Linked DNA regions of Arabidopsis thaliana. The protein of the gene in region 1 interacts with the protein of each later gene in a pairwise test. Each region holds a gene or a part of one and is shown in the gene's direction. Other genes may lie near its edges. The genes, in order: AT1G60460, RHL2, ATSPO11-1 and SPO11-2.

Region 1 (6,002 bases):
TTACATATTTTTTTATTAGAACTCGAATGCATTAAACATAATTCATATTATAACCCAAATTGTGACATGTTAGAGCACCAATGGACTATGAGTTTATATATAATACCGGTGTTGTTGAAAGGAAAGGAACCCTTCTTTGTGTTTGTCTTAATCGTGGGATGATGTAATTACGAGATTTTGTTTTTTATCTCGGTGAGAAGGACTTTTAATTATACTAAGTGGTACTTGCGTTCCATGAAGCGTTGGACTAAATATTATAAGAATCACACCGTGTTGAAAATCACTTTTGTAGATTTAACAGTTCTGTTTTTAAAAACGATTTAAACGAGACAGATAATTTATTAACTATGTGATATGATTGTTTTTTTTTCTAGTTTCCAATAATTATTTTACAAAATATGAGTATTATTTTTCGAAAACATCATACCGGTGTTCCAAAACTTCCACGCGTCTGTTTTTTTTATTAGCATGAGATTCATCCGTCTATTTAATTTACTTAACTCTTCAACAACGGACCAACCAAGGCATGTTTCACAAAAAATAGTGATAAATGTTTATAACCTAGTCAATGATCAATAAGGTATCGGTATTTTATAAAAGTAAAATGATACAAATAAAAATTACAAACACATGATAAATATTTTATAGGAAATTTAAAGATTACAGTTTAACCAGTACCGGTCGTTATGAATAGGTCATCATCGTATATAAAAATAAAATACTAGGCTCTTAGCTAGCTTAAGTATTTAAAGTTATATCTATACCTAAATGAATTTGTAATCTATTTTCCTATTCATAGATTTACAAGTCGAATACAAGTCGTCCGAGTTTATTGGACTAGCGTACTCGTATATTTTTCTATTACACGTTCTTCTGAACTTCCATACGACCATGTTCTATACAAAATAAACAAAGTTAGAGCATTTGAACAAACATACATATAAAAACACATTTCCAAATTCTCGATATTAATTATTTAACAATATTAAGACTTTGACTGGTAAGAAAATAACAACTCCGTCAAATAAAAATGGAGAAAATAACAACTAAAACCTTACTAGTGAAGCTGTATATAAAGAAATTGGGAAAAAGTCACGAGGACATTTTGTGTGAATGAATTAGAACTCATTTCTAAGACTTCCTCGATCTCATACCTGGCTGAAAACTAGAAGTCAGCAAACGACGAAGACAAAAGAATAGTGTGGCGCACGAATGGAAAGGCTTAGCGTCTTTTTAATAATGATCATGACTTCCACAACCTCCTTTCTGTAACACATATACTTTGTTAGTGAACCAATGAGAAATTTTCAGTAAGTCGTGAATATTTTCCAGTAAGCCCATTTATGGTTTCTACAGTTATTATATGGTTGATTGATTGGTCTGATTGATCGGGGTTCCATATTATTTGTTTATGCTACTATAAGATTAGCTGCTTACTGCTGTAAGAAAAAAGAAAAGGATTATCTATTTTAGTATTTACCTCTTCAATATTTCTTCATTAGTTTTTTAATTGGAATAGACCAACAAGAATTTAGATTCATGAAAATGTACTTCAAAATATGATTTCTCTATATTAGTTAGATTTTCATTGGCTATATATTTGACAGCGGAATGCCATCAGTTTATGGCCTAGCTAGTAATTCATTATGGGGTTCAAAACAAAATACCAAACTATTTCCTCCATATTTTTGTTTCTTGGCTTTTTTTTCTTCTCCATTTATGAAAATATACTATATCAAATTACTATAAAAAAAATTCAGTAAATAATTCATTATATAACTTTTAAGACTACAATTAAAGTGTTAAACAGAAATCTAAATTGATTTAGTCAGATTTGAGCTTACATTAAATAATTATTTCTAAGAAATATGTCTAATAAAAAAATAGTAATTTTATATCAAAATAATTATGAATCATATTTTGCCCAAAATCATTTTTCTAGTGGATATCCTTGTATCTATTTTGACACTCACTGGACTACTTGTAGAAGAGTGACACAGTGCTTGAGGATTTGGAATTCAAAATTTTAGCTATACGCGGGACAATTTCGAAAGCGGAGAATCTCTGCCATGGAAAACAATGCTCCGGTTCCGAAGCTTCTTCTACAAGTAAGTCACCGATCATCTTCACCACTCTCTGATCGATCTTTCTCCGTTTTTCATAGATTTTTCTATTTTTTCTGTTCTGAGAAATTCAAATTCTGTAGTTAATCTCATCTGCTTTCCAAAGATGCCGTTTAGCAGAAGATCTCTGTAGATTATCAGTTCTTCTTGACCAATCCACCGAAAGAGATCCTCCGATTACTTGTATTTCGAGTAATTTCACTCTCTTTTGTTTTTGATTCTGCGTCGCCCTCGATGAAAATCGAATCTGTCTTCGCTAAATTGGTCACATTATCTGTCTATTTGATGCTGTGTATAGTTGCCGATACGGGAATTGGATGCAATTTGGAGGAATTTCAGAATTTGAGGTGCCCAAGAGAATTCAATGGAGCGAAGATTTGGGGTCAGTTACATTACTAGCATCTTCAGTATTCGATTATTGAATGTTAACTATGAAATTTTAGTTTTATTTAGAATTGTACAAATTGAGCTGAATTTGTTCGCTTCTCTGTTATCTTTGTAATACGTTAATGCGATTCTGACTGTGGATAATGATGTGTTGCAGATGGGTTACTCTCCGTCAAAACGACTTGTAAGTTTTGCTATATTGACCTCAAATCTTGCTTATGGTTTTAAATGCTTTAGCCTTTTTCCTGGTTTTGCTTGTAAGTCCAATGGAGAAACATATCTTGTTTTCCTCTCTGGGTTATATGATTGATTGTTAGTTGTCTACATTAAGTTCGAGTCACCGAAACTAAGTAACTTGTTATTGTTCTTCCTCCACTGTGGTGATGGAAGTGCAGGCTTTACTGACGATGAGGTATACTATTATCATATAAATCTGGATGAGTATATAGCGAACAAAAGACTGAAAAGACAACCTTCTCAGGCTAAGAATGGTGCAAAGTTTAGGTGTGCAAGTTCCTCAATTTATATCTTATTTCACTGATTTCTAAGCCACTGTGAGTGCCCTTGACTTGATTATATATTCGGATTGTGTTGTTTTCAGTGGGACTGAAGTATCCCTGAGTGTTTTTGGAAGTATGGATGTTCTCGTGGCACCGATAATTGGCTTCTTTCAAAAGGTCTTCCCTTCTCTTCTGCAACCTTGTTGCTCTTGTAACTACTTATTTCAATTGGATTCAAGTACAGAACACAACGTTACAAAAACACTGCTAACCACTTGTTATAGAACCAAGATAAAGAGCCAAAATATTACATCTTTAAGGGAAGAAGAACCGTACTGAATTCCAATGGAATGAAAGTTTATGTTTGAAGGTCGCTCATTAGTTAACCAGTGTTTAAGCTACTGCTTTAATTTGGTCAAGCAATGAATCTGTATCATGAATAACCGAAGCTTGTTTAGTGGTTTATATTTAGCATATCTTTTAAATTGGTATTGTTGGCCTTCTGGCCCTATCATTTGAGTGTAGTCAATTTTGTCAACTTAGTTCCCTCATGATTGCTTAAGTTACACTGTAATGATATTTGTATCCTGTTTTCTTGCAGATCATTGTTCTACAGATACTTGTAAGTTCAAGTGACTCCCTTTGGTGATTTACAATTTTGTCTAGAAAATTGGTTTCCCTATACATGGTAATTTAGAAAGAGAACCAAACAAATCATGGAATTACAAAGCTGATTCTTTTCTTCCTCTCAGAATGTCACATTGGATCTGATGGTTAAACAAGGGACTTCTCCTGGTAATCAAACTCAATACGTCTTTGCAGTGAACGCTGACAAAACTCCATGCTTTACTGCCTCCAATCTTGAACGGTTGAAGTCTGGTCTTGAGGACTATGTTTTAAGGCATGCTAACTGTTTGGATACGATGTGTGACTATTGCTTCTCTGATAGGTATATAAAATGTAACACCATTCTTGTTTCTGGTACTCTTACGACTTAACTTACTTCGGCTTATATAAAATGTAACACCATTCTTGTTTCCAGTTCCACTAGTTAAGTCTGACAAATCTTGGTATATTTACTTTCAGAGAGCATCTAAAAGTTGGAAGTGGAACAGTATGCCAGGAAGACAAACATAAGAGAGTTGGAGGGACGATGGAAGTGGTTATTGTGATAAGTGACTTGCTAGAGTCAACTCAGCATTGCAGCAGATCATGCAACGGCAAAACAGAGGTTTGTTAAACTCACTCTAATACAAAAGCTCATATTGAGATGTGATGTATGATTGGCTGATCTTAACTAATGGATTTCCCCAGGTTCTATACTTTGACAATTTCTTACCTTCCCCTGTTCCACATTTGGCATTGAGCGCATTGAAAAAGATTGACTGGAAAAAATATGGTTTGATCCTGGCGAATGTGAATGATCAAGACGGACATGTGTTTCTCGAGTGGGACAATTTCCCTTCATATGTTCAAATACAAATCGCCCTCCATTGGTATCACAATCAATATCCAACAAGGCAGAAGAATGGGCCTGGTATAAGTCTTCTGAAGAAGGGAATAAAAAATGCTTTGGACAATTTGAAGGCTAAACATGAGGGTTTTCTTCTAAGCTCACATTCTCGTAAGGTGCTCTCTCGGTTATTCTCCTTTGTTGTTTGTGTCAATCTCTTAAATTTATACAGGTTTGACCAAGATTTTGTTGTTGTTGTTTATCTTTCTTAGATTTGCAGCTATGTCCCTGACCTTGCAAGATCAATAGCAGGCCTAATATTCTCCTCTACTGACTTAGACTTCCAAGGAGATTGCCTATCTGTTCTTGGATTTCAGACACAAGAAGTTGAGCGTGACACAGTCGAGAACTATATCCAGAGAAAGATCGTGACGGTTATAGGAATGAATGAGAGGAAACCCCAGAAAGACCAAGAAGCTGCTCCTTTTCTGTTTTTTGATGGCGAGTCTGAGACGTCGTTCTTTGAAGATGAGGAAGTAGAAGGTGAGTATTACTCTAGCTCCCTGGAATGATACATCTGCTTCTGACAAGTAGATAGTAAAATTGTGAAAATATATGTTACGCATTTGCATATGTTATTGCTTACAAATTCTCATCGTTTTGGATAGACTTGTTTATAAAAGCCTTACATGATCAAATCTGTAAGAATCTGCAAGTTTGTTGTGTTCTTGAGCTAGTTTGTCCAAAGCCAGTAACACAATTTTGCATCACTTACTTCTCTATTTGTTTTTCAATCACATTCAGATCGAGAAAATTCCACGCATGAATATGATGCTACAGCAACTAAAGCTTATACACAGTTCAAATGTCTGGCGACTATGCTGCAGGAATAGTCAATAGGGCACTTTCTGATTCTAGGCTTAACATTAGTAGTATATTTGTTCTGTACAGCTTCACAGTGATATGTTTCTGATCCGTACATAAATATAGCAATACAAACACTTCATTTCCTTAGTACTTTAACACTTACACACTTTAGCAATACTATTTGAAAACCTCTCGGGTCGAGAAAAAACTCACCAAGGTTTCTATTTTCTGGTTAATACTATTTCAAACTATGTATACATATATCAAAAGAAAACAGATAGAGGAACACACCAAGTCTTGTGACTTCCCTGCAAGATATCTCAAGCAGCAGAAGGAGCAGGAAAGTAGGTCATTTCTGGTTCAAGAACGGAAGCTAGGATGCTTGATTTTGTAACGGTTTCTTCCGCATCTGCAGGGATTTTCGATTTGAAATCGAGAGATTCATCATTATAGACATCCCACCATTTATCAACTAACATCTTGATGTCTTCTCTGTCCATGTTAGCTTCTTCTCCTGTGTATCTCCATGGCTTGGATCCCTATCAACAGAAAAAAGGAATCAAATTTCAGCAACAAGCTTAAGGGGCTCAGGGTTTCAAAGCAAAGACAGAACTACTTACAGCTGCACAGTAGTGAACAACTTTGACTTTCTCCAGCTCCACGTTCTCCGGG
Region 2 (4,168 bases), on another chromosome or scaffold:
CAACACAAATCTCACAGGGGAATGTAGTTAAAAGCATCTACTTTCCAACATACGCTAGAGAAGACTCAACAAATCGTGTAACTTCAAAAGAAAGAGCTCAATGTAAAACGACCAAGGAAAAAGAACTCACTGATGACAGGGATGTTCCGACGAGATTTGTGGTTCAAAATCTTGCACAAGAGACCGATACCAGATAAGTAAGGCATGATCACCTCTGTTAGCACAATATCAATATGATTGTTTAGATCTTCTAACACCTTCCAAGCTTGTATCCCATTTGACGCCTCAACAACTGCCATGACAGAGTTAATAATAATCAATCAACAAACAGAACCGAAACGGGTACATATATGCGCTATAGATTAAAGTTGGGCCATAGGCTTCAAAACTGACCTTCATAGCTACAATTGCGAAGAAGTGCAGTAACGATATAACGAGTGCAGTCGTCATTTTCGACAAGCAGAACTCTAATGGTTCTCACATGAAGAAACCTTTCCCAACAGACAGTTGCCGCTGTTTGTTGCGACAATGGAATTTGCAGTCCACCTGAACTCCCATTTCTCACATCCATAGTAATTCCATTAGTTTTCTCTTCTTCACTATGCTTCTCTGTCCGACTCTCAACCCTATCGAATTTCGTCTCTCCGGTCTTTCGATCAGTGATTGGGTAACGTGAACCCTCCCCCTCCTCATTAGCATTCATCACACCAACTCTGCTTCGCTGAATTCAAATGATCAAAATATCAAAACACAGCCATAAACCCTAATTTCGATTATTGCAATAGCTAGAGGAGTTAGAATCGTACAATATCTCAGATTAACAGAAAAAAGAGTTGAAGAACGACGAATTCTCAAAAAACCAACTAATCAAGTAACTTTTTGAAGAATCATCAAAAAATCGAATCTAGACAAATTACATCAAATAAAAATCCAACCATACAAAAGCATCTAAATTCCAAGAGAGTACTGATCTTACAATAATCAAATACTAGAACGAAGAATCGAGCTCCAGAAGTTGCATCAATCACCAGAAAAATGGATCTAGCACAATCAGCTAACGGTTGGGAAATAGAAACAAGGAATTCAAATCGATAAACAGAATTAAGAATCGAAGCTTCTTAGAACTTTAGAAGGAAGATAAACACAGTGAACAATTTTTGAGATTATGAGGTTTTTCTGTCTCCCAGAGAGTGGAAATCGGAGACGACCATAAGCCACCGATTTTTATTTTTCCGGAGATAGATAGATATTAGAAAGATTTGTCTCGGGCCAACAAAAAAAAAAAGGAAATTAAAAAATCGTAATATCTGACATGGACAAAACTAGAGGTCCCGAACGTTCGAGAAGTTCCACGTCAGAGCGGATATTTCCACATCATATATTGGCGAGGATTAGTGACGTGGATGGTATATCAAAAACAGTCGTTCAGGAGGCTAGTGGCAGATTATTAAGATCTTTTTGAACTGACACGTGTAATGGTGGGTAAGGAAAACGTCAAGTGGTAAACTCATCTGGACCGTTGAATAGATTTTGGCGGAAGAGACTAGCGTTTAAAGATTTTATAGATGTAGTTAATATTGGGCTTACCATATGGGCCATTCAAAAAGATTTTAACCCAATAAAAAATATTCAAAAAACTATCGTCGACAGCAGGGTTCGAACCTGCGCGGGCGAAGCCCAATAGATTTCAAGTCTATCTCCTTAACCACTCGGACATATCGACATCTCGTTAAAAGCACAATTAATTAACTTAATAAATGCGTTTCTAAGTCTACCCCTTTAGTTTACCCTAGAAATAACATTCACGAGATACGTTGACCTAAAGGGTAAATTTTCCCGCCATTGTTAGTACCAGAACTCTCTGGGCCGCCGCGTCTCCGTCGTCGTGGCTATCTACAGATGGCGGATAAGAAGAAGCGAAAGCGATCAAAAGATGACGAGGCGGAGGAACTTCCTTTCAAAAGCATTCTGGAATCAGACGACGTTATCACGGAGCTTCTCAAATCGTATATTTCCTCTTCTATCAAAGCCGCCGCCGGAGCCGGCGGTGCCTCCTCCTCTTCATCGAAACCTCTAACCCTAGCTGACCTCTCTCTATCATCTTCCTGTCGTGAAGTCGCAGATCTCTCACTCTCCTCCGTGCAGACAGAGATAGAGACAGTCATCGTCCAGATCGCCCGTTCTATTCTCGCCGGTGATGGCTTCTCCTTCAGTGTTCCTTCACGCGCCGCCTCGAATCAGCTGTATGTTCCTGAGCTCGACCGTATAGTGCTAAAAGACAAATCTACCCTCCGTCCATTTGCCTCCGTTTCTTCTGTCAGGAAAACCACCATCACCACTCGTATCCTCGCCCTTATCCACCAACTCTGCCTCAGGAACATTCACGTTACTAAGCGTGATCTCTTCTACACCGACGTTAAGCTTTTCCAGGTAGGTTCTTCTTGCTTTCAATTTTACTTGAGATGATACTTTCTTCCCATTAAATAGAGAATGATAGTCACTGTTTTAGATCCAGCTCTTGTAAACCTGAATCGAAAGTTCTAGCATTGATTCTTTGTAGTTTCGATTTTGGAAGGTTTTTGAACCAATTCGCAACCTTACTGAATTTTCAGGACCAGACACAGAGTGATGCTGTGTTGGATGATGTCTCATGTATGCTCGGTTGCACAAGGTCAAGTCTCAATGTCATTGCAGCAGAGAAAGGTGTGGTGGTGGGAAGGCTTATATTCAGTGACAATGGAGACATGATAGATTGCACAAAGATGGGAATGGGTGGGAAAGCCATTCCACCAAACATTGACCGGGTTGGAGATATGCAGAGTGATGCTATGTTCATACTCTTAGTTGAAAAAGATGCAGCTTATATGAGGTTAGCTGAAGACAGATTCTATAACCGGTTCCCTTGTATCATCGTGACTGCAAAAGGCCAGCCTGATGTAGCTACAAGGCTCTTCTTGAGGAAAATGAAAATGGAGCTTAAGCTTCCGGTACTTGCCTTGGTGGATAGTGATCCTTACGGATTGAAGATCTTGTCGGTGTATGGATGTGGGTCGAAGAACATGTCATATGATAGTGCAAACTTGACTACGCCTGATATTAAGTGGCTTGGAATTAGGCCGAGTGATTTGGACAAGTATAAGATACCTGAACAGTGTAGGTTGCCGATGACTGAGCAGGATATTAAGACCGGGAAGGATATGCTAGAGGAGGATTTCGTGAAGAAAAATCCCGGGTGGGTCGAGGAACTTAACCTGATGGTGAAAACGAAGCAAAAGGCTGAGATTCAGGCGTTGAGCTCTTTTGGTTTCCAGTATTTATCGGAAGTTTACTTGCCCCTGAAACTGCAGCAGCAGGATTGGCTCTGATAATCAGGTTTCTTCCTGATCAATTAGATAGACCAACAAGTGTACTCTACAAATTTCGAATTTTTGATAATGCAATTGCCTGTTTCTTAGCATGTGAATTATTATTGCAAAGATCGAAATTTGGTTTTAAATTTATGGTTGAATCTACACAGAACTGGAAAGATAGCTGTCAGATGATTATTTAGAAGACAACTCTTTTGTTTATTTAGAAGATTGTATACAATATGATGGGCATTGAGATGATATGCAATCTTTCCCCATTCTTTTCTGCATATGGTTTGAATTAGCATAAAATACAATGATGACTGATTAGTAATGTAACAGTCGGAGGCAGCTACTTTCTGCGCTGCAACCACTGATACAGAGACGCCTTTGTAACCATCAACCTCTCCAGAATCGCAGGTCTCCTCGTTGAGGATATACTAACAAATGACTTAGTGTTCTCTTGGTCTGCATCATCTACACAGTGTGCATCCTGTATGATATTTCTTTGTCCAGCAGGAAGAACCACAAGAGACAATTCATCTCGTAGAAGCTTCACTAGCGCTTCTTGCACAGTAATCTCTTGCTTTCCTGAAACGGTATTTGCTTCATCGGTTCCTATGATAATCAACACATCATCTATTACAACGTCACCTGCAAAGGAGATTCAGTTAGTTACAAGTGTTTTTTAGTCTCTACTGGCATAAAATTCAACAACATTTGATTTTTTTGTCCTAACTTAAGCTGCATGTATGCTGTTCCCGTTTGAAATGTTTACCGAGTCAAAAAGTTACTACATGAGAGAGAGAATGTATTGGTGT
Region 3 (5,165 bases), on another chromosome or scaffold:
AATTCAATCATGCAAAACGGACAACATTATAACTGAATTGAAAATATCTCTCTTATCATTATTTTAGCTTTGTACGATTTACTATTTATGTCAGAAAATGTTTCATTCTTTGACTTTTACGACAACTTTACAAAAAAAAAAATGTTCATACAAGTCACAGAACAAAGTAACATAAAAATCTTAAAAATATATTATCATTTTCGTTAGAAGAAAAACAGTATAATTTTCAAACGCGTTTAAAAACAAAATAACTTGAGATTTTGACGTTATCCTTGTCACAGAGAATCTTTCCTATTTCTTTACGTATAGACACTCAGAGGAAAGACAGAGAGAGAGTTAGCATTGTACTATCTCTCTTTTAGATATATCTCTATCTCTCTTCACTCCATCTTTCTCGTGTTAACACAACAGTCACAGACTCACAGATCTTTGTCGGTGATCGGAGATGGAGTTCCGGGAGAAGCTTTTGAAGTTCAAGTTGCAAATCGTGTTTGCCTTTGTTTTATCTCTCCTCACCGTAGCTCTCGTCGCTTATTCTCCCGGTTTCCTCACCGTTCTATCTTACTTCTGGCCACTTTTTCTCTCCACGGCTCTCTTTCTCGCTGCCGTTTTCTTCTTCGCACGCACCTCCGATCTCCCGGTTTCGTCTACCATCATCCCAGGCGAAGGCGCAGGCTTAAAAGTGGCGGCGGAAGGGATTCTTGACTATGTCGTCGGCGGACAACACGAAGACATTCTCTTTGATAGCTTCACCAAACTTGACTAAGTATGAGACCTCTCTGTTCTTAATTCCTTAAGTATTTCCGTTAATTAGTTGTTCCTTTTTTAATACTAGAGAAAATAAAATTACAAAATGTAATATTTTCACGAGGAATAAAATCTTGCTTAAGTTTATGCTTCTATATTACTTATTTTAATCTTATGTTTCTGTTTAGGCGCGAGGCTTCTTTTCTTTAGGTATCTCTCATTAGTTTATACGTTACAAGATTACACATTGCATTGATATATGATTTTACTTTCAAAAAAAATTTAAATGTTGAACGACCTTAAAATCCGTGCGCTTTACTTTTAAATCTTTCCGAATGAAACCCAACCACCGACGCGACAGCTTTTCATTTGTTTACTAATTAAACGGAACAAAGCAATTTAAATGTTATCAGTGTTGTGTTTTAGTTAGAAATACTATAAATAATACAAGATGCCTCTTTTGTTTTAGAACTTTTTTGGTATCATGAATTCGTTATCGGATAAAATACGTTAAAGCTAAGTAGTATATTCTTAGATTATATATAAATTAGGTGAGCAATCTATCATAGAGAAGAAATGATTAAAATAAGTGTATGGCATAATAGATTCGAACATTTTGGTATGTTCCTCACGTGTCCGAGCATAAAGCTTATGAACAAATCTCGACCACTAGAAGTCTAGAACTAATTCTAATCTAGTTTACCATACACATTAATTATTTCAAATTTAGTGCACATGATTATTTTATATTGGCATCACTAAAATGTCTCCAAGTCTGAATAAATCGATTTATATTGGTTTGATTGTTATCATGAATCTTTTTCACAATCACTTTGCCTAGTTTCGGATCGGGCCTAAAAGCCAACGGCCCAACGTGTTTAAAAACACATGCGTTTTTAAAATGACACGTCAGTTACGTATCGGGCCTAAATGCCAATGGCCCAACGTCATGGAAAGTAGGAACTAAACGACACGCATGTTTAAATTCGAAGGTTTTAACGGCAAGCTTTTCGCACCCATCCCTTTTCTTCCCGTCTACAAAAATTCGTCGACCATTGCATTTTTCAGTTTTGAAACTCGAAAGAGATGGAGGGAAAATTCGCTATTTCAGAATCGACTAATTTGCTTCAAAGGATCAAAGGTATCAGAAAATCCCAAAATTTTCCGAATCGTATTGAGTAATTTGTCCTCTAATCTATGTCGAAATTTCTAGTCGATGACTTCGCTGGCTCTTCCGTTGTTCATCACTATGTTTCGGTTTTTTGAGCAGATTTTACTCAATCGGTCGTTGTAGATCTGGCTGAAGGAAGATCTCCAAAAATTTCCATCAATCAATTCAGGAACTATTGCATGAATCCAGAAGCTGATTGGTTTGTCTCTCTTCGATCTCGATTATTCAATTTTGTTTTCACTTTCTTTGATTGAAGAATCAGACGTGTTTGGTCTTTGGTTCGAGACATTTTTGAAGGATTTAAGCACAACGTCAACGAGTATTGAAAACTAAGACCTCATGAATTTACCATTTTATTCTGCTGTCTATAGCTTATGCAGCTCTGATAAACCAAAGGGTCAGGAAATTTTCACTCTTAAGAAGGAACCACAAACCTACAGAATCGGTGAGTCAGGTTTCAGATAATTCTACAAGTACATTAGTGTTATCTTAATATAGCATCACATTGCGGTGTTTTTACTTTCAGATATGTTGCTAAGAGTATTGTTGATAGTCCAACAACTTCTGCAAGAAAATAGACATGCTTCGAAAAGAGATATCTACTACATGCATCCATCAGCTTTCAAAGGTGAATTTGGAAGCAACGTATAATGTTTTAGTTATGTTTTTCTTCTAAACGAATACGTATTGAGATTTTTATACGGATATTAGTTATGCATCCCTCTTTGTTGTGTTCTTGGCCTTCTAGTAACACTGTTTTCGTCTACTTCACAGCACAATCCATTGTGGACCGTGCAATTGGTGATATATGCATTCTTTTTCAGTGTAGTCGGTACAACTTGAATGTGGTTAGTACTTTAATACTTTCACCTTCAATTTTCCTTCTGAAGAGTTATTATAAGCTGCGATTGAAGATGTGATTACTTTTTCATTCATGTGATATTTTGCAGGTTTCTGTTGGAAACGGGTGGGTGCTCTTGATAACGAGTGCAATGCTTCTATCTTGAGGCATGTCCTTATTTTAAGATCCACCTCATTATTCTTTTGTGTTGTAGGTTGGTGATGGGTTGGTTAAAATTTAGGGAAGCTGGAAGGAAATTTGATTGTTTAAACAGCTTGAACACTGTAAGAATTTGAACATAAGATTCACTTTTTATATTGGCATCAGGAAGTATAACTCTGCAAGTGATTTCATTTCAGGCATATCCCGTTCCTGTTCTTGTAGAGGAAGTCGAAGGTACATATATTTGCAATCATTTTAAGTGATGCTTTATGCTCTTTAGAGAAGTCAAATCCTTATCTCAGCTGATATCAGGAAGTATAAGATTCACTATCTATGGTGGCATCAGGAACTATAATTGGATGTCATTTTCCTGCTTGCAGATATTGTTAGCTTAGCTGAGTACATACTGGTTGTGGAAAAAGAAACAGGTAAGAAAGACCTCTTATTTATGTAGTAACTAGGAAGATGGTTTTCTTTCTTCATGACTAAATCGCTTTCATCCATGGTTTATAGTATTCCAGCGTTTAGCAAATGACATGTTTTGCAAGACGAACCGCTGCATTGTTATCACAGTAAGAAATCTGCTTCATTCTTACTGATTTCAGTTTTGACTAGTTTTCATTTCCATTTTATGTTTGACATCAAAGTTACGATTGTTTTTGGCAGGGAAGAGGATATCCAGATGTCTCAACAAGAAGGTACATAACTTAATCCCAGGTTCCTGGAATACTATTTTATCAGACATTATCTTCTATTGATTAATATATCAGCGAATAACACAGATTCTTTCCAGGTTCTTGCGACTCCTGATGGAGAAGTTGCATCTACCTGTGCATTGTCTAGTCGACTGTGATCCATATGGCTTTGAGATCCTAGCCACATACCGTTTTGGCTCCATGGTTAGATTCTGTTACAAAATATAGATGACTGAACTCGGAAAATTTCACCGCTTGCATTGTTTTTGTTGATAGTGATAATGTGATATGGCACTGACCCATTTCATTTTGAACCATTTTCCTTATGTCACTTGTTTTCTTTCTGTAAGCAAATGGCCTATGATATTGAATCATTACGAGCACCAGATATGAAATGGTTGGGAGCTTTTCCTTCAGACTCTGAGGTATATAGTGTTCCCAAACAGTGTCTTTTGCCACTGACAGAAGAAGGTAAGAGATCATTAAACACCTTATCGCCTTAAATCTTTAGATTTTCCTATTTTTCACTGCTTCCTTTTTTGAGATTGTAACAACTTCCCCGGACAGATAAGAAAAGAACTGAAGCAATGTTGCTTAGATGCTACCTGAAGCGTGAAATGCCACAATGGAGGTATGAAAAACTTCCCTGACTTTTTTATATTTACATTTCAACCAAATGACAAAAACTAGTCTTGATCAAAACGATTTTGGTCGTCTAAGGTTGGAACTTGAAACGATGTTGAAAAGAGGGGTCAAGTTTGAGATCGAAGCACTCTCAGTTCACTCACTGTCCTTTTTGTCAGAGGTATATATTCCTTCTAAGATTCGTCGTGAAGTAAGCTCTCCTTGAGCTTCATACGAGATAACTAGTCTCCAACTCAAGGTAATGCTCATTGTTTTTTTTATGACTCTTTCTAAGCTTTTTAGTGCAAACCAAATGCATTGGTAGAATGGACAAATGAACATAGTTTTAATGGAAAAATCATAAATATACAGATTATAAAAAATAATTCTCAGTTTTTAATTTTTAATAATACAAAGTACATTCACTAATGACTAATGAGTAATAAGTTTGAAATTTTGAATAATACAAAAGTAATTTAGGGTTCATTTGCTTTATATTGTTACCAAACCTAATTTGAAGTATTAAAGCCGTTCCCCTGACTAAAAACCTTTGAACACTCCGATCCAAAAAAAAGAAGAGAAAAACCTTTGCATACAGCTAAAAACGATGTCGTCTCTCTCTCGCTTTCTCCTTCGTGGCAACTTCAGCTTCAGCACCCACACGAATCGCCGCTTCTTCTCCGCCGTTACCGCTGCTGCAGCCACACCCTCGCCACCCAAACCGTCCCTCATCACCCTCGTAAATGACGAACGCGACCCCAAATTCATCACGGAGAAGTTCAAGAAAGCCTGCCAAGCAGAGTGGTTCCGGAAGAATATAGCTGTCTATGAGAGAACCGTTCGCCGTCTCGCCGCAGCCAAGAAGTTTGAGTGGGTCGAGGAGATCCTGGAGGAGCAGAACAAGTATCCAAACATGTCAAAGGAA
Region 4 (4,951 bases), 1.5 Mb from region 1:
GTTAAAGGGTATAATATTGAAGCCAACTATATTCACCTAACTTTTCTGTTCAACTGCCTAAGTCTTTCCTCCTTTTCCTAGCTATATATCTCTTTACAACGTTTTTGGATCTATATATTATATAGAATCATATATTAATATATATCCAAAAATGCATGTACATGTCAAATGTACTTCAACCCATATTTTGAAATCTAAATAGTAAATATTAATCTTTAAAAAAACAAAAATTGACATCGATGGTATATATATTGAGTGGTCTTATACATTTTGAGAATAGTTTGTAGAATAAATTGATTAGCTTATTTAAATTTATATATTTCGGCACCAATTCGTAATATGTATTGATGTTTTTAGAATATGTAAATTGTAACGATTGTTTTAACTTCATGTGGAAAAACTACTCACATGTTTCATATAAACCGATCAAAATCTAGTTATATTTATGGTCAAAGTTCTTGTTGATGTTTTCCCATGACAAAGGGAATGTTCGGTAAAGGCTTAACTTGCTTATAAATTTACATGTAACAAGTAGTAATTAATTTGCTTTTATTTGCATTTCAAACGTGTGGTTAAATATAGTGTACCAACTCCATACACACACTCGTGAGCCTGAAATGCACGTCTGGTCGGTTTGAGAACTAGCTAAAATTTAGAGATTGTTTTAGATCACTAAATTTATATCATCCTTGTCGTTGTTTATAGATATTTATATGCACAATAATGGATTAATAATATTCACATTTTGTCAAAAAAAAATATAAAAAAAAATAATTTATATAACGAATTAATACGATAAGATTTTTTTTTCTCGATACCATAAGAATTCTGCGTATTTGTTCCATTGTCCAATGATATTTCCACCACGTAATATGGACTATATATAGTGGTTAATTTGAACATATCATTGATCTTTTAACTCTAAGTATGAGACATTTATATGATTAAAGTGGGATATTTTTATGAATTTCGCATCCCCCTTCATTTCGTTTTCGCAAAGTTTCATTTTGAAATTTCGTTCGTCCAACCATACATCCCCTACTAAGTTATACTACCGATAATGAAACTTATAGAAATCATGAAGTCGCGTAAAATGTTGGGCATTAAATACGGATAAATGGACTTAAGCAAATTATTGTGGTTGTGGTTGTTAAGAATCTCTTTGACCGCTCGAATAATTATACATCCAAATGTAATTAACCTATGCAAACTCATGCATGCACGTGGAAGCTTCTCATTCTCATAAACCATAAAATTATGTACAAATGTAAATCAAATGTTAGTGGATCCATTTTCTTAAAATATATTTTTTCTTTTATAATTTTTATTTAGTTGATGTTTTAAGAGAATACACACTTAATAAATTATTTAATTTTTGTTTACTTTAAACTAAAATATCATTTATTATTTAATAAACCAATAGAAAAATTATCTGTGGAATAAAAATCATCAAAACCAATGAAAATATAATAAATTTTGCATTAAAATTTTAAAATATCATATATTTAAAAACAAAAATAAAAGCTTAGAACATCACTTATAAAAAACAAAGAGAGTATATAAAATTGAACTTTCCGATTCAACTTATTGTGTAAATTAAATATCTACAAAAATCAATTGATTACCACATTGAAATATAGTTATTGATAGCTTAAAACTATACAACCGCAAAACAATTACAATTTTGGCTTGTAGTTAGGCTAAATTTTTGGCTTATATATAAAATTAAAAAATAAAATAAAATATATGACACAATTAGTTCCACATGAGAAAAAAAATCATGAACTGCATGCCGGTTTCTTATAAACAAAACGGAAGACAGTGCAAATCTCAAATCCCGAAACTTGACGCGCGCCTCTCTGTCTCTCTCAATCAAATTCAAATCAAAATTTCAAAAAAGCGGAATCGGAAAAAAAATCTCAAAATGGAGGAAAGTTCAGGACTATCATCGATGAAGTTCTTCTCCGATCAACACCTCTCTTACGCTGACATTCTTCTTCCTCACGAAGTAAGTTTCGCTTCCAATTTTGAATTTATCGAATCACTAGTCTTCTTCACTGTCGAATCTCGTAGTTCTGACTGAAATCGAAGCTCGTTGTTACAGGCTCGTGCTAGAATCGAAGTTTCTGTTCTCAATCTCCTCCGAATTTTGAACTCCCCAGATCCAGCTATCTCCGATCTCTCTCTGGTACTACTTAATCTCGTGCTTAAGTCCGTTTCTTAGATCGCGTTATAGCTTTCTCGAATTCGTGATTTTCTGGGTTTTTGAAGACAATTGAAATGTATCGTTTGAACAGATCAATAGGAAGAGAAGCAATAGTTGTATAAACAAAGGGATACTCACAGATGTTTCATATATATTCCTCTCTACTTCGTTTACTAAGAGTTCATTGACGAATGCTAAAACAGCTAAAGCTTTTGTTCGTGGTAATTGCTCAATGTCTCTCTCTGTGATCTTCACCCAAATCTTTGATTAGAATGGTATGAGAAAATGGTTGTGATTTTATTGAAACAGTGTGGAAAGTTATGGAAATATGCTTTCAGATTCTGCTTCAAGAGAAACGAGTCACACAAAGAGAGCTCTTCTATAAGTTGCTTTGTGATTCACCTGATTACTTTTCATCTCAGATTGAAGTTAACAGAAGTGTCCAAGGTCAATCTAAAGCTTAATTGCATTTGGATTAAAGAGTTTTTGAGCTGATTTTTTGGTCGTGCTTTGGTTTAGCAGATGTGGTAGCACTTCTACGTTGTAGTAGATACAGTCTTGGTATTATGGCTTCAAGCAGAGGCCTTGTTGCTGGAAGGTTATTTCTACAAGTGAGTTATTACTTGCTTCTAGCAATCCTTATGTAGCTAACATTGTGATCTCTGACCATTTCTTTACTTTACACTCAGGAACCAGGTAAGGAAGCTGTAGATTGTTCGGCCTGTGGTTCTTCAGGTTTTGCTATAACTGGAGACTTGAATTTGCTAGACAATACCATCATGAGAACTGATGCTCGTTATATCATTATTGTGGAAAAGGTAGCTTCTTGATGTAATCAAGCACATATGAGAGATGTCGTAATTGTCTGTAACTCACTCCTAGAATCTGTTTTTAGCATGCGATCTTTCATCGGCTCGTGGAAGATCGTGTGTTCAATCACATTCCTTGCGTGTTCATCACAGCGAAAGGGTATCCGGATATTGCCACAAGGTCAATTCTTCAACTCAGTTACAAAACCATATTGCAATGTAGTCAGTGGTATTAAGTAGCTTGGAAGTTAAATCTTTTAGGTTTTTCCTCCACCGGATGAGCACAACTTTTCCTGATCTGCCAATTCTTGTTCTAGTTGATTGGTAAGCATAAATAAACATCTTCCTCTTTGTTAACATAAAACTTTAGTGCTCATATGTTCATAAATGAGAGGTCAGGAATCCAGCTGGGTTAGCTATACTATGCACCTTCAAGTTTGGAAGCATAGGGATGGGACTTGAAGCATACAGATACGGTAAAGACTTAGCTGTTTGCACCAAATAATCTCCAAGTCTCTACAATGATAATTTCTGCATCCTCTTTAGCTTGCAATGTGAAGTGGATTGGTCTCCGAGGAGATGATCTGAATCTGATACCAGAAGAGTCTTTGGTTCCCTTAAAGCCAAAAGATTCACAGATTGCTAAGAGCTTATTGTCCTCCAAAATATTGCAGGTAACCAACTATACATTATACATTATAAGCAGAGATCAGATGTAATGGTCAAGCCGAAGCAATTCTAAGATTCGAATCTATAATCTATCATTTATACCCTAATTGATTTTGACATTTGCTTCTGACCAGGAAAACTACATAGAGGAGTTGTCACTGATGGTTCAAACTGGTAAAAGAGCGGAAATTGAAGCTCTCTATTGTCATGGTTATAATTATCTCGGTAAATATATAGCTACCAAGATCGTGCAAGGCAAATACATATAACACTTAAAACACCAACATGTAAGGTCTTCCACCAATAAAGATGCGTTTGCTTTATATTGGTTCCAAATATAAGAGAGTAACTTATTAGGGTGAAGTTTTATGCAAACTCTAATAGAATGTAAAAATAGATTACAATCAAATCAAAATTTTCCAAACTGAAGTATGATCTTTGTTTACATATGGCATTGTGATGATTTAGTAACAAAACTTGTCCTAATCTCCACTTTCCTATGCAGGTATAATGATAATTCCAACCAAAAATTCTCGCTCACTTCTTGCTTGATACAAGACTAATCTTCTTTCCCTCCACAACAAACTTGCCACTTCGCTCCAGCTGCAACAAGGACGTTAGAACAATATCAGTAAGAATGACAAACTTTGGAACTTTGTGTAGAATATGAGAATCCCACTTTAAAATGATTATGTTTACTAACTTCACTATCACACTTCTTTAATCTCAAATATAATGAATTTCATACGCTTAATGTAGATTCTATACGAAGATTTGGCATAAAGATTAGCTAAGATTGCATTACCTTAAGTTTCAAGTAAGCAATAGCATCTTTTCTTGAAGAAAACTCTGAAAGAACTGATGGTGCTTGTTCATCGATCAGAGATTTTAGCTGTTTCAGCTTCATGAATCCACCTTTACCAGCATCCTAAGAATGTTTTTGCACATATACATATAAGTCGATATGAGTGGTGGGATGTTTTAGAAGAATACAATGACAGTTCAAAATAAATTGACAACGAACCTTTTTAACAATCTGCTTGCACAGGTTCTTTAACTTGATTTTGGGTTCAATGATTTCATCGTGCTTCCTTTTCGCGGGAAGAGAACTTTCAATTACAGAGTCCTTGTCATCATCATCTGCTTCACTCTCGTCTTCATCTTCCTCTTCGTCTTCTTCGTCATCATCATCATCATCATCATCATCATCATCACTGTTATCAAAAGAGGTTTTCTTCCCTTCGTAACGAACACCAGCTATTTTCTT

What was found.
Region 2: the proteins of AT1G60460 (region 1) and RHL2 interact in binary tests that used the Arabidopsis thaliana proteins (3 or more experiments, as listed by UniProt).
Region 3: the proteins of AT1G60460 (region 1) and ATSPO11-1 interact in binary tests that used the Arabidopsis thaliana proteins (3 or more experiments, as listed by UniProt).
Region 4: the proteins of AT1G60460 (region 1) and SPO11-2 interact in binary tests that used the Arabidopsis thaliana proteins (3 or more experiments, as listed by UniProt).

The regions. Positions count from the first base shown.
Region 1 is NC_003070.9:22,273,531-22,279,532, forward strand, and holds AT1G60460 (uncharacterized protein), read left to right. Parts: upstream 1-1,953; 5' UTR 1,954-2,069; coding exon 2,070-2,108; intron 2,109-2,206; coding exon 2,207-2,315; intron 2,316-2,421; coding exon 2,422-2,505; intron 2,506-2,667; coding exon 2,668-2,694; intron 2,695-2,905; coding exon 2,906-3,014; intron 3,015-3,062; exon of another isoform or gene 3,063-3,111; coding exon 3,112-3,187; intron 3,188-3,611; coding exon 3,612-3,632; intron 3,633-3,718; exon of another isoform or gene 3,719-3,762; coding exon 3,763-3,959; intron 3,960-4,096; coding exon 4,097-4,241; intron 4,242-4,324; coding exon 4,325-4,639; intron 4,640-4,735; coding exon 4,736-5,006; coding exon of another isoform or gene 5,007-5,035; exon of another isoform or gene 5,036-5,255; intron 5,256-5,267; coding exon 5,268-5,356; 3' UTR 5,357-5,477; downstream 5,478-6,002. Other genes in the region: GolS4 (galactinol synthase 4), read right to left, coding at 5,651-5,869, 5,951-6,002.
Region 2 is NC_003076.8:640,759-644,926, forward strand, and holds RHL2 (Spo11/DNA topoisomerase VI, subunit A protein), read left to right. Parts: upstream 1-1,795; 5' UTR 1,796-1,899; coding exon 1,900-2,430; intron 2,431-2,612; coding exon 2,613-3,365; 3' UTR 3,366-3,636; downstream 3,637-4,168. Other genes in the region: PRR7 (pseudo-response regulator 7), read right to left, coding at 131-292, 394-703; AT5G02830 (Tetratricopeptide repeat (TPR)-like superfamily protein), read right to left, coding at 3,700-4,001. UniProt on the Arabidopsis thaliana protein: Component of the DNA topoisomerase VI involved in chromatin organization and progression of endoreduplication cycles. Relaxes both positive and negative superturns and exhibits a strong decatenase activity. Involved in cell-elongation processes.
Region 3 is NC_003074.8:4,230,861-4,236,025, reverse strand, and holds ATSPO11-1 (Spo11/DNA topoisomerase VI, subunit A protein), read left to right. Parts: upstream 1-1,819; 5' UTR 1,820-1,833; coding exon 1,834-1,888; intron 1,889-2,017; coding exon 2,018-2,117; intron 2,118-2,289; coding exon 2,290-2,363; intron 2,364-2,444; coding exon 2,445-2,546; intron 2,547-2,692; coding exon 2,693-2,766; intron 2,767-2,868; coding exon 2,869-2,885; intron 2,886-2,973; coding exon 2,974-3,043; intron 3,044-3,118; coding exon 3,119-3,155; intron 3,156-3,301; coding exon 3,302-3,349; intron 3,350-3,434; coding exon 3,435-3,493; intron 3,494-3,587; coding exon 3,588-3,619; intron 3,620-3,714; coding exon 3,715-3,820; coding exon of another isoform or gene 3,821-3,844; exon of another isoform or gene 3,845-3,966; coding exon 3,967-4,087; intron 4,088-4,183; coding exon 4,184-4,247; intron 4,248-4,336; coding exon 4,337-4,466; 3' UTR 4,467-4,631; downstream 4,632-5,165. Other genes in the region: AT3G13175 (uncharacterized protein), read left to right, coding at 446-766; AT3G13160 (Tetratricopeptide repeat (TPR)-like superfamily protein), read left to right, coding at 4,848-5,165. UniProt on the Arabidopsis thaliana protein: Component of a topoisomerase 6 complex specifically required for meiotic recombination. Together with MTOPVIB, mediates DNA cleavage that forms the double-strand breaks (DSB) that initiate meiotic recombination.
Region 4 is NC_003070.9:23,742,325-23,747,275, reverse strand, and holds SPO11-2 (sporulation 11-2), read left to right. Parts: upstream 1-1,890; 5' UTR 1,891-1,924; coding exon 1,925-2,008; intron 2,009-2,104; coding exon 2,105-2,188; intron 2,189-2,297; coding exon 2,298-2,427; intron 2,428-2,515; coding exon 2,516-2,653; intron 2,654-2,728; coding exon 2,729-2,817; intron 2,818-2,895; coding exon 2,896-3,024; intron 3,025-3,101; coding exon 3,102-3,196; intron 3,197-3,276; coding exon 3,277-3,339; coding exon of another isoform or gene 3,340-3,343; intron 3,344-3,414; coding exon 3,415-3,491; intron 3,492-3,561; coding exon 3,562-3,689; intron 3,690-3,818; coding exon 3,819-3,953; 3' UTR 3,954-4,221; coding exon of another isoform or gene 4,222-4,287; 3' UTR 4,288-4,434; downstream 4,435-4,951. Other genes in the region: AT1G63980 (D111/G-patch domain-containing protein), read right to left, coding at 4,222-4,287, 4,490-4,612, 4,709-4,951. UniProt on the Arabidopsis thaliana protein: Component of a topoisomerase 6 complex specifically required for meiotic recombination. Together with MTOPVIB, mediates DNA cleavage that forms the double-strand breaks (DSB) that initiate meiotic recombination.